Linked DNA regions of Coturnix japonica. Each later gene encodes a partner of the first gene's protein in a complex. Links are inferred from orthologs where the notes say so. Each region holds a gene or a part of one and is shown in the gene's direction. Other genes may lie near its edges.

Region 1 (3,513 bases):
AAGAAATAGTGTGGCCAGCAGGAGCAGAGAGGTGATCATCTCTCTGTACTCAGCTCTGGTGAGGCCTCATCTCAAGTATTGTGCTCAGTTTTGGACCCCTCACTGCAAGAAAGACATTGAGGCCCTGCAACGTGTCCAGAAAAGGGCCACAAAACTGGTGAGGGGTCTGGAGTACAAGTCTTATGAGGAGTGGCTCAAATTTATTAACAAATTTATTTCAGGCTTCGCTTTCTGCTGTTACCTGTGCTGATGAAGTGCTTTTCGATCAAGTTCCCAGGCCAATTCAGTGGCAAACTCTGGCTGATCAGTATGCTCCACAGGATCAGTAGCCAGCTGTTCTCCATCAAACTTTGCTTCAACTACAAGCATGTGCTTGGGTCGTTTTGGAAAACAGCGTCCTGAAACAGAGTGTGATTACCAGTCACCACAAACAGAACAAGTGAGCTCAGATCCTTATTGCAAACTAATTACAATTTTTATTGTAATTGCAATATTGTAATTGCAAACTAATTACTAATTACTCTCCTACATTAAAATCACAGAATCACAGAATCACAGAATGACCTGGGTTGGAAGGGACCTCAAGGATCATGTAGTTCCAACCCCCCTGCCTAGCAGGGCCACCAAACATACACATTTACTAGATCAGGTTGCCCAGGAGACCCCATAGAACCCCATAGAGACCCCATAGACCCCATAGATCCCCACAGAGACCCCATAGACCCCATAGATCCCCATAGAGACCCCATAGATCAGGTTGCCCATGGCCCCATCCAACCTGGCCTTGAACACCTCCAAGGACGGGGCATCCACAACCTCCCTGGGCAGCCTGTTCCAGGGCCTAACCACTCTCCTAGTGAAGAACTTCCTCCTAACATCCAACCTAAATCTTCCTTCTTTTAACTTAAAACCATTTCCTCTAGTCCTGCTATTATCAGCCCTTTCCAAGAGTTTACTCCCCTCCTGGGTGTAAGTTCCCTTCAGGAATTGAAAGGCTGCAATGAGGTCACCCCACAACCTTCTCTTCTCTAGGCTGAGATAACGTTCCTCTGCTCATCATTTTCTGCTCTCCAATATCTTGGGCCCCACTGAAGGAAACAGGCTGCAGAGACAGGCAACAAGCCAGCAACTACAGCAGGGCTGAAGCTTTAATGGCTTACCTTCCAGCACAGCAACAACGATCAGCAGTCTGTCTGCAGCTCTGGACACCATCGTGGGTCCGACCACAGCGCTGCCACGGCGACAAGCGGCAGCCCCGCCACCACAGCCCGGCTTCTCCCGCTCCAAGCGCCGCGCTGCCGCCTCACAACGGCGGCCCCTCCTCCTGACGGGGTGTGACGTCCCTTCCGTCGCAGCTTAGTGTCGTCAGCCACTCGTATTTCCCTTCCTCCGCTCCCGGCCCCGCTCGGTGACCGGCGCGGTGCGGCGGTGTGTGGAGCAGCATGTTCCGTATCGAGGGGCTGGGGCCTAAGATGGACCCGGAGGAGATGAGGAGAAAGATGCGGCGAGACGTTCTTACCTCCGTCCGTAACTTCTTCATCTACGTGGCGCTGCTGCGGATCAGTGAGTGTGCGGGGATGGGGCTGCGGCCTGAGGGGCTGCGCCCGGAGCTAGGCCTGGATCTAGGCCTAGAGCTAGGCCCGGAGCTAGGCCTGGATCTAGGCCTAGAGCTAGGCCCGGAGCTAGGCCCGGAGTTAGGTCTAGAGCTGGGACTAGAGCTAGGCCCAGAGCTAGGCCCGGAGCTAGGCCCAGAGTTAGGCCCGGAGTTAGGCCTGGAGCTAAGCCCAAAGTTAGGCCCAGAGTTAGGCCGGAGCTAGGCCCGGAACTAGGCCCACAGTTAGGCCCGGAGCTAGGCCCAGAGTTAGGCCCGGAGCTAGGCCCAGAGTTAGGCCCGGAGCTAGGCCTAGAGTTAGGCCCGGAGCTAGTCCTAGAGTTAGGCCCGGAGCTAGGCCTAGAGTTAGGCCCGGAGCTAGGCCTAGAGTTTAGGCCGCGAGCTAGGCCTAGAGTTAGGCCCGGAGCTAGGCCTAGAGTTAGGCCCGGAGCTTAGCTAGGCTAGAGTTAGGCCCGGAGCTAGGCCTAGAGTTAGGCCCGGAGCTAGGCCTAGAGTTAGGCCCGGAGCTAGGCCTAGAGTTAGGCCCGGAGCTAGGCACAGAGTTAGGCCCGGAGCTAGGCCCACAGTTAGGCCCGGAGTTAGGTCTAGAGCTAGGCCCGGAGCTAGGCTTGGAGTTAGGCCGACTTAGGCCCAGAGATAGGCCCGGAGTTAGGCCTAGAGCTAGGCCCGGAGTTAGGCCTAGAGCTAGACCCAGAGCTAGGCCTGGAGCTAGGCCCAGACCTAGGCACCGAGCTAGGCCTGGAGCTAGGCCTAGAGCTAGGCCCGGCCGGACACCTGCATTGCCCAAGCCATTCTCCGTGTTCACCACCAGACACTGACATTGTGTTGCTCTCTTTTCAGCTCCCTTCATCCTGAAGAAGCTGGACAGCGTGTGAGGGCTCCGCGAGCTGCACGGAACACTCGGCTTCTGAAAACACGAACTGCTTTCCTTTCATCATTAGCTCAACGTCGTTCCAGAGGCAGGCATCCGATCCTAAATGTTCTTTAAAATAGCCATGTAGGCGTGTTCGAGTGATAACGTGGTGGGGGATGTGGGGCAGGTGTGTGTTCTCTGTGCAGGTACTCACAGAGCACTCCGCAGCATCAGTAGTGTTACAATGGAACGTTTCTGGTCCTCCTGTAAAAAATTGTTCATCTTTTCTCATGAAGTTTGAAGTGCTAACAAGTCGCTTTGTTGTGCACCTACCTCTAAACTGCGGCGTGCTGTGGCTATCAATGTTACCGAACCTGTCTGTAAAATTATGTTGTTATTGAATCCAGTGCAGAGGGAGTTTGATTTTAAATAAATGGGAGAGCAGTTCTGTCACATCACAAACTACTCTGGTACTGACTTATTTCTGCTGACGACCAAAGTAGAGGTTCTTTGGTAATATTTCCCTGGCTTTCTAAGGCTTACACCCTCCAACTTCGGTATCAGTCTGTATTGAAGAAAAACAAAGGAAAATGAGAAAGATGAGCAAGATGATTATGTATTTTTCTAGTTTCTAAATAATGTAGTTTCTCACATGTGTAGACAAGACTCAGAAATAAAAGCAGAAAGGGTTGGCTGTGTGTTATCCTGCAGGTCTGTGCTAGTTTGCCATTCCATTAGAGCCTCATGGATATTGCTTTTATGCAAGGTAAAGCATGAGCAAGGCTGCACTGCTGTAATCTGTGAACGATTAATGGGATTTTAAACACAGCAGATTTTCATGACTGTGATGCAAGTCTTAGAGATGGGAATAGCCCCTGTTAGGGGTCAAAAAAGGAGACCTCATCATTTGACTTGCAAGTGACTCTCTTCTGAGGGAAATAAAGGGCCCAGTGTGTTGGCTGCACCCTTCTAGTAGGGAAGTGTGCTGCAGCTCTGGGGCTTTGGTCAGGGACATCAGGAAACTTCCTGGTCTGGATCACTCCTCTTA
Region 2 (3,745 bases), on another chromosome or scaffold:
TGTCAGCCTTGCTAGGGCCTGCAAACATTTGCTTCCTTATTGGCTTTCCTAAATTTGCCTTTGGCTTACCCTCTAGTCTCTGAAGTCACAGGCTTTCTGCTTATTCACTGGCATTTCCCTGAGGTTACCTGGATATCCATCTATGTCAACTTATTTAAATGCATTGGTTTCTGCATGGGTCTGTTTTCTCCTTTGGTAGAAAAACAAACACTGCTTTGCTGCTTCTGAACTCGGTTCCTGCTAACTTTAACTATTTCCCACCTATTTTCTGCTGATTATAATTTTACCATCTGTGGTGAATGCTATCGGTCAGTTCCTTTTCAGGATAAGCCCTTGTTTATGCAGTTAGGCTTACCTTAAGGTTTCTTTTCCACTGTATTTTTAATCTTTGAAGGCTCAAATTTAGAAGGACAGATAATGACTGCAGGTTTGACCTAGAAGTGAATATAAACCTCTGATGGAAACTGGTGAGCACTACAGCTGTCTTTTTATTGGTTACATACATGTCTTCTTCAAGTAATCATGATTATAATGTATGGATAGACAGCAGCATTCACTGGGATTTTGTGTACTGCGGTCTCAGACAAAACTGTTTCACAAGGCAAGTGATTCAGAACTTCTTCCTTCAGGGTGGGGCAGTAAGTACTTCACTGGATTGCTTTAAAATGATAAAGCCGGACCATGACTAATATATATAAAAAAAAGCCACCCCACCATTCTGATGTAAGAAACTGAAATTCTATTCAGAATGAACTTGTATTATGAACAATTCATGCCACATTCATGTTCTTCCCCCTAACATCCAACCTAAAACAGAACTAGATGCTGATGGGCAGTTGGAATTTACTGCCGGTCAGCCTGCTTTAGTAACGGCTGAAAAAAAAAAGAAAACGGCTGCCGTACCATGTGTTGGAGGAAACCAGTAGTGCTTGTTAACGTGTATTTCATGTGATTCGAATATGATTTGACTCGCTTTCACTTTTCTGACGGGTTCTGACTGAGTACTTTTAAGGAGGCTGGGCCTGTGCCCACTTGTGCTGTGGCTGGTGACCGTTACGGGGCGGAAGTTTCTACTTGAGTTAGGCGGGCGGCTCGCAGGGCCTGCACCCGGTGTACGGGTCTTCCCTCGTGCGGGCCGCTGGACTGAGGAGCCGCCCGAGGCCTCGCTCCGCCCCGCGCGCTGCAGGGCCGCACCCGCTCTGCTGAGCGGCGGACGCGTCGCGGGTTCCAGGCGCGGCCGTTGCCGCCCTCCCGCGCAGGCCCCGCCCTCTCACGAGGACCCGTCTCCGCCTCTGGGGCTGCCGGAATTAGCGCCTGCCGGCCCACGTCGCTCCATCCCGGCTCCGCGCTGAGGGTACGGCGTTTCTCACGGCTGGAGCCTTGTGTTCCCGTGTGTGCCCGCGCTGGGGGTCTCTCGGGTCGGGCGGACGGGCGCGCGGGGCGCTCCGTGGGGACGGGCACCTCGCGGGACGGCCCCTTCTGACCGGGGTCCTGCGGGGCGGCGGCGGGCGGGCGGATCGGTGTCTCCTTCACTTCGCCCTCCAGTGCCAGCGGCTGCAGCAGCGCGGCCTCCTCACGGCCAGACCCGCCCGCGCCCCCGGTCCCGCTCCGCCCGGCCCCGCCGCTCTCTCGCGCTCGCCAGGTGCCGGCCCGGGGCTGGGCTCGTCCCGCGGTGCCGGGGGAGGCGGGTGGGGCGCGAGCGAAGGGCGGTGAGCGGGGCCGGGGCCGCGTTCCTCGTTGTCCCGCTGGGGGCGGTCGGGAGGGACGGGGTGTGGGGGGATCGGGACGGGGTCGGGACGCTCCGCCGCCCGCGATGGCCTCGGCCGTGCCCGGGCTGCGGTTACATAAGGGGCGGCCGTAGCGCCGGGGGTCAGGCGCGAGGCCCAAGATGGCCGCGCGGAGCGTTCACCTTGCGGCGGCAGCGGGCGCCGCGCGGCCCGGCCCGTAGCGAGAGGGGATCCGCGCTGCTTCGGTTTTGTGAGCACGGAGCGAACCGAGCGCTGTTTGACTCTCTCTCCCTTCTCCGTAGAGTCTGTGCATTGGCCTAGCTATGGCTACGTCGTCCGCGTGCCAGGCGTCGAGGTGTAAGTAGGGAGGTAGTTACAGCGAGGGTAGTAGTTCTCGTTTAGTAGCTCCGTAAGCGTAAAGGAGGTCAGCGTTAGATCGGACATGTTTTTAACGGTATTTTCAGTATCGGTTTATTGCTATTTTCAATGATAGGATACAATTTCACTTTAGTTGTTGCCGTTTAAAAGTATATATAAAAGTTTATATAATAAAAATATTATATATTTTAATACATAATACTTAAGTATTTTGTTCCTAATTCTGTGCCCTCTAGGCTGATCCTCAATGTCCTGAGGTCTGGAAATGGTTATTGAAGCCACTGGCATACCTTAATTACTAAGTGTGGGGCTCTTTCCAAGTATTGCCTCGAAAGAAAGCTGTGATGTAATACTTGTGACAGCCTTCACACATCTTGGCATTTCATTTTCTTTTTGCTTTGGAAGAAAGTATATTTAAGTAGCAGATTATTTCTTTTAGGTCTATATAGAAAGGGGGATAAAAAGAAAAAGTGGGATGCTTACCTGAAATAAGTATTTTCTATGTTCCTGAAATTAGGATATTTGATATCTACTGTCACAACAGGCTTGTAATTAAATTGTAGCTTTATTTTAGGTGCTTCTAATTAGTAAGAAGATGAAAGACGCTTCAAAACATGCTCGAATAAAATTGCTTCTCATCATAAGGATTTGCAAATCTAGTGAATTTTTCAACACTGGAAGAAACAGAATTGATATATTTTGGCCTTTAAAGAGCTTTCTGGTGGTGACCCCGGCTTACGGGGTGTTTTATGTACCCCCAAATAACATCTGCTTTTTCCTCTTGTGTCCCTGTCAGCGTATGAATTGAAACAGCAACGTGAAGGTCATAAGCTGTTTTAACTCCTTATCAGGAAACCTGGGCCTGTAGGCTGGAATGGCTGACAAGGATTAGTCAGTTTCCTGCAGTAGGGAGGATGCTTAACTTGGCCTGATAAAAACAGCAGTATCCTTTTATTGCAGTAATTCCACACATTTAGTTACAGGCAATTAAAAATATTATTTTTTAAACTTTAGGGCCTTAGCATAAATCTCTTGTCTATGATGAATATCTAGTCAGCTTGGGAACATTAAAGATGAAAGAAGTTTATACATACAGTCATATATTTTTATATGTAGTAGCCTTAAGCACAGACATGCATTTTGATACTTCTGAACTAGTAATAATTATTCTTCTGGAGACGGTAGTTGGACCTACTCAGAGGAAGAGTACATAGCTGAAACTTCTCAAAGCCCTTTTAAGCTACTAATGAACTGGACACCAGGGATTTGGAGTGAGAGAAGACCAGTGCTCCCACACTTTCTTCAAGTTTTGTCCTGCTTCTGTTACTTTTTATTGAATAAATCATAGAAACCATTTTGTCTCATCACTGGGACTCACATCTGTTTCTGCTATTGAATCATCTTTTCCTTAGGCTTATATTATTATTTATTTTTTTAAGAGTTTACTCCTCGCAAGAACGGATTTGTTTTATACTCCCCAGCAGGTGCTGGGTTGATTCCTTTACTGACTTCTGTGTAGAGTTTAGCGTTTCTTGCTGAAGAGGTTCTTGGTTTTTCTTTCAAACTAAGCTAAGCCTGGATGATTTTGCGATGATGCAGTTGAATTTTTCCTTTTGGGCTTTAGGAAGATGGAGAGAGGC
Region 3 (3,745 bases), on another chromosome or scaffold:
TGCTTCCCTATAGGATGCAACGTAGAGAATGCCTGCTACAGCCTTGGGATGTGCGCTGAGCGTGCAGCCATCCTAAAAGCCATCTCCGAAGGGCACACACGCTTCAAGGCCATGGCCATTGCCAGGTGAGGCCATTGGCACCCATGGCACCACATCACTCTATGGGTTTTAGGGTGATGCCCCATTTGGGTTTTGTTCAATCTCTTTGGGGTTTTGGCGTAGTGCTCCCTTTTGGGGTGCTGCCCACTTTGGGTTTTGGCTGATCGCTTTGTTCAATGGGGTGGTTCTCCCTTTGAGTTTTGGGCAGTCCCATTGGGTTTTGGGGAATCCCTTTGGGTTTTGGAGTGTTCCGCCCTTTGGATTATTGGCTATTCCTTTGGGCTTTGGGGAGGTACCCCCTTTGAGTTTGGGGTGATCCCTTTGCTTATTGGGATGGTTCTCCCTCTAATTCTGAGGCAATCTCTTTGGTTTGGGGGGTGATTCCCCCTTTGATTTTAGGGCATCCCCTTTGGGCTTTGTGGTGGTGCCCCCTTTGGGTTTTGGGTAATACCCTTTGGGGAGGTGCCCTATTTAGGTTCTGGGTGATTTCATTGGGTTTTGGGTGATCCCTTTCTTTTCCAGTGTGGTTCCACCTTTAGTTTTGGAGCGATCCCTTTGGGTCTGGGGGAATCTCTTTGGGTTTCTATGTCTGATTCCCTTTGGCTTTTGGGATGGAGTGATACTGAACCTGGTGTGGCTCTTTTGCTTTGGCAGTAACATGTCAGACTTCATCACGCCATGCGGGGCCTGCAGACAGGTGATGAGAGAGGTGAGTGGAGCCCCTGCCATGCTGGGGGCATGGAGGGCCACAAGGAGCTGCAGGCCACCATGGATGGGGGCCACCCCTCCATCTCTGGGCTGAACAAACTAAGGGAGCCCAGCAGTTGAGCTGAGCTGTGGGTGCTGCAGCATGGATTCCCTATTGACCCTCTCTCCTGCTTTTCTCCTTGTAGTTTGGCACAGACTGGGACATCTACCTGACCAAACCTGATGGCACCTACATTGTGAAGACACTACGGGAGCTCCTGCCACTCTCCTTTGGCCCCGAGGACCTGCAGAAGGCATGAACTGCACACCTGCATTTCCCTTTCAGCACCTTGGATCACTCCCCCTCTATGCAATTGACTCCATTGGGGACAATGGAGTTTGCTCCATGGGTGTTGCTTGGATCCAATGCAGCCCAACAGGGGATAAAAAGCAATATCAGCTCCAGTTCCCAGCATTATCCAGCAGCCATTTGTGCACTGTGTTCACCGTGCAGCCAATGTGATGCCACAGCTCCTTTTTTTAGCCTATTTTTCTCCTTTCTCTCTATATTTTTGCTTGCTTTCGTGAGGACAAAGAGCAATTCCTTGACAATGAAACAGCAATGGAACAAAACCCAATGACGTGTTACTTTAACGAGGCATGCTGTGCTCTGTGCCCTGTTGGACCATGCCCTGCGTGCTCAGTGCTGTGTGCACTATGCCCTCCATGCACTCACTGCACTCCATGCACCAATGCATGCTGCACCAATGCAACCTGCAGCAGCACCTTAAGCCCTCACCTTGCGCATGCGCATTGCGCATTACGCGCTTCCTCGTAGCCACGCCCCCTTCCTCATAGCCACGCCCCCTCCCCATAACCACGCCCACTTTCCCTGTAGCCCCGCCCCTTCCGCTTCCGCCTTCTTCCCGCCTCTTCCTGAGGCGCTCGGTGGCCGCCATGTTGTTTCGGGTGCTGTTATCCCGGGCCTACCGCCTGCTGCCCGGCCGCCGCCCCCTCCCCATCCCCGTCCCCCCTCCTGTCCCCTCAGCCGTTCCTCCATCTTCCCTCTTTTCCCGGCTGCCATTCGGCCGCTTCTTCTCCTTCAGACGCCCGGCTGGCCTAGCGGCAATGGCGGTGCGGAGGGTCCGGGCCGGGCCTTGTATGGCGTTGGCGTTGGGGCTGGCGCTGTTGGAGCCGCCGTTGGAGGAACAACGAAGAGCGAGGGCGGCGTGTGGCCGGATCCAGGTGTGGGGCTACGGGGAGGGGTTGGACGTGATGAGCTTAGTGGCCTTTTCCAGCCTTAGGGGGGTTCTGTTGTCCCCATGGTTACAGCCTGAATGGCAGCCTCTGGCTGCGGCTTTCGGTCTGTCTTTGTGTGTGGAATCGCTGTATTATTGGGTTGGAAGGGATCTCGGAGCCCATTCAGTACCAACCCGTGCTTTAGGCTGGTTGAAAATAAGGCCATTTTGCACTTAACAGTCACTTGGGCTTTCCTGGTTGATTAAAAGGCATTTTGCTCTTTCCAAGCACTCCAGCTTTCCTTTATTGTGCAGTCTTTGCAGAATCACAGAATGACCCGTGTTGGAAGGGACCTCAAGGATCACGTAGTTCCAACCCCCCTGCCTGGCAGGGCTACCAAACATACACCTTTACTAGATCAGGTTGCCCAGGGCCCCGTCCAACCTGGCCCTGAACACCCCCAAGGACGGGGCATCCACAACCTCCCTGGGCAGCCCGTTCCAGGGCCTAACCACTCTGCTAGTAAACAACTTTCCCCCTAACATCCAACCTAAATCTTCCCTCTTTCAACTTAAAACCATTTCCCTGTGTCCTGCTATTGTCAGCCCTTTTGAAGAGTTTACTCCCCTCCTGGGAGTAAGTTCCCTTCAGGTATTGAAAGGCTGCAGTGAGGTCACCCCGCAACCTTCTCTTCTCCAGGCTGAACAAACCCAACTCCCTCAGCCTGTCAATAAACTGAATAGTCTTGAATAAACTGAATGCTTTTCTCATTCCACTTTTCCTTCGTTTTTCCTTTCAGACGGTGTTTGTTGGGAAGAACAAGGCGCAGAAAGATCCGCTGAGCTCTTTGCGATGGCGGGGCTTTAAGCTGGAGGATTATCTCATCGGGCAGCCCCTTGGGAAGGGCTGCAATGCTGCTGTCTATGAAGCAACTATTCCTTCATCCCTCCATCGCCAGGGGAGCACACAGAGCTCAGCTCTGCCTGTGTCTGAAAAGGAGCCGGCAGATAAAAGCCAACAGCAAGCTGCCTTCCCCCTGGCTATCAAAATGATGTGGAACATCTCGGTAAGGAGTCAGCTCTTAACATCCTCCTTGTGTGTCTGGATATGCCCAGAGTTAGGTTACACAGGGCAACCTGATGTGGTGAGGGGCCACCCAGCCTACATAATGTCTTGGAACTGGATGATCTTTAAGGTCCTCTCCAGTCTAAGCCATTCGATAAGGACAAGACATTGAATGCCTGTTGTTAGTGACAAGTCACACAGCCAGTCATTATTCCTGTGGAGCTGACAGCACGTTGCTGTTGCAGGCTGACTCTTCAAGTGAAGGCATCCTGCGCAATATGCACCGAGAGCTCGTTCCAGCCACACAGACTGCTTTAGCTGGGGAATATGGAGCCATCTCCCATCGCAGGTACAGTATCCATCGCAATGACAGCTGTTCTCAGGGTATTATGTGCTAATTTGATCCAGCTTGATCCATCGGTTTCGTTCTGCAGCACGTCTGTGCTGTACAGAATGCAGCTGGAGGTTTCTGTGATATCTTATGGGAAGAACTGAGCATGAATCCTTGGGATTATTCCATGTGTGTGTGTGCCTTAGCTAAATGGCACTGCCTTTGTTGGTGCTGTATGCCTCAGTTGCCATGCAAGAGCACGCTTCTGCCTATCCTAGTGACTTCCCTCTAGTGAGGGAACAGCGTAGCAGTGGTGCTGTTCAA

The links. Proteins that work in one complex are often made in the same cells at the same time.
Region 2: the proteins of TOMM5 (region 1) and VDAC2 are in contact, whole or in part, in a cryo-EM structure (PDB 9EII), measured with the Homo sapiens proteins. The link is inferred for Coturnix japonica from reciprocal best matches to the Homo sapiens genes TOMM5 and VDAC2. Residues at the interface, in NP_001001790.1 of Homo sapiens: Ile25, Arg29, Leu32, Ile33, Ala36, Arg39, Val40, Phe43, Ile44, Lys47; in NP_001171752.1 of Homo sapiens: Val38, Thr60, Gly63, Asp239, Tyr258, Gln260, Thr261, Leu262, Leu268, Leu270, Val286, Leu288.
Region 3: the proteins of TOMM5 (region 1) and PINK1 are in contact, whole or in part, in a cryo-EM structure (PDB 9EII), measured with the Homo sapiens proteins. The link is inferred for Coturnix japonica from reciprocal best matches to the Homo sapiens genes TOMM5 and PINK1. Residues at the interface, in NP_001001790.1 of Homo sapiens: Met1, Phe2, Arg3, Ile4, Gly6, Leu7, Ala8, Lys10, Leu11, Asp12, Pro13, Glu14, Met16, Lys17, Arg18; in NP_115785.1 of Homo sapiens: Gln484, Ala488, Gln491, Ser495, Lys496, Pro498, Val502, Lys520, Leu522, Lys523, Leu524, Met527, Glu565, Cys568, Gln569, Ala571, Leu572, Leu573, Cys575, Ser576, Trp577, Ala579, Ala580.

What each region holds. Positions count from the first base shown.
Region 1 is NC_029547.1:66,690,176-66,693,688, forward strand, and holds TOMM5 (mitochondrial import receptor subunit TOM5 homolog), read left to right. Parts: upstream 1-1,338; 5' UTR 1,339-1,442; coding exon 1,443-1,563; intron 1,564-2,452; coding exon 2,453-2,487; 3' UTR 2,488-2,927; downstream 2,928-3,513. Other genes in the region: CEP120 (centrosomal protein of 120 kDa), read right to left, coding at 242-398, 1,161-1,212.
Region 2 is NC_029521.1:12,479,909-12,483,653, reverse strand, and holds the start of VDAC2 (voltage-dependent anion-selective channel protein 2), read left to right. Parts: upstream 1-1,255; 5' UTR 1,256-1,354; intron 1,355-1,509; exon of another isoform or gene 1,510-1,642; intron 1,643-2,029; 5' UTR 2,030-2,050; coding exon 2,051-2,084; intron 2,085-3,745. UniProt on the Homo sapiens protein: Non-selective voltage-gated ion channel that mediates the transport of anions and cations through the mitochondrion outer membrane and plasma membrane.
Region 3 is NC_029536.1:4,265,071-4,268,815, forward strand, and holds the start of PINK1 (serine/threonine-protein kinase PINK1, mitochondrial), read left to right. Parts: upstream 1-1,178; coding exon 1,179-1,196; exon of another isoform or gene 1,197-1,440; intron 1,441-1,644; coding exon 1,645-2,031; intron 2,032-2,824; coding exon 2,825-3,091; intron 3,092-3,335; coding exon 3,336-3,439; intron 3,440-3,745. UniProt on the Homo sapiens protein: Serine/threonine-protein kinase which acts as a sensor of mitochondrial damage and protects against mitochondrial dysfunction during cellular stress.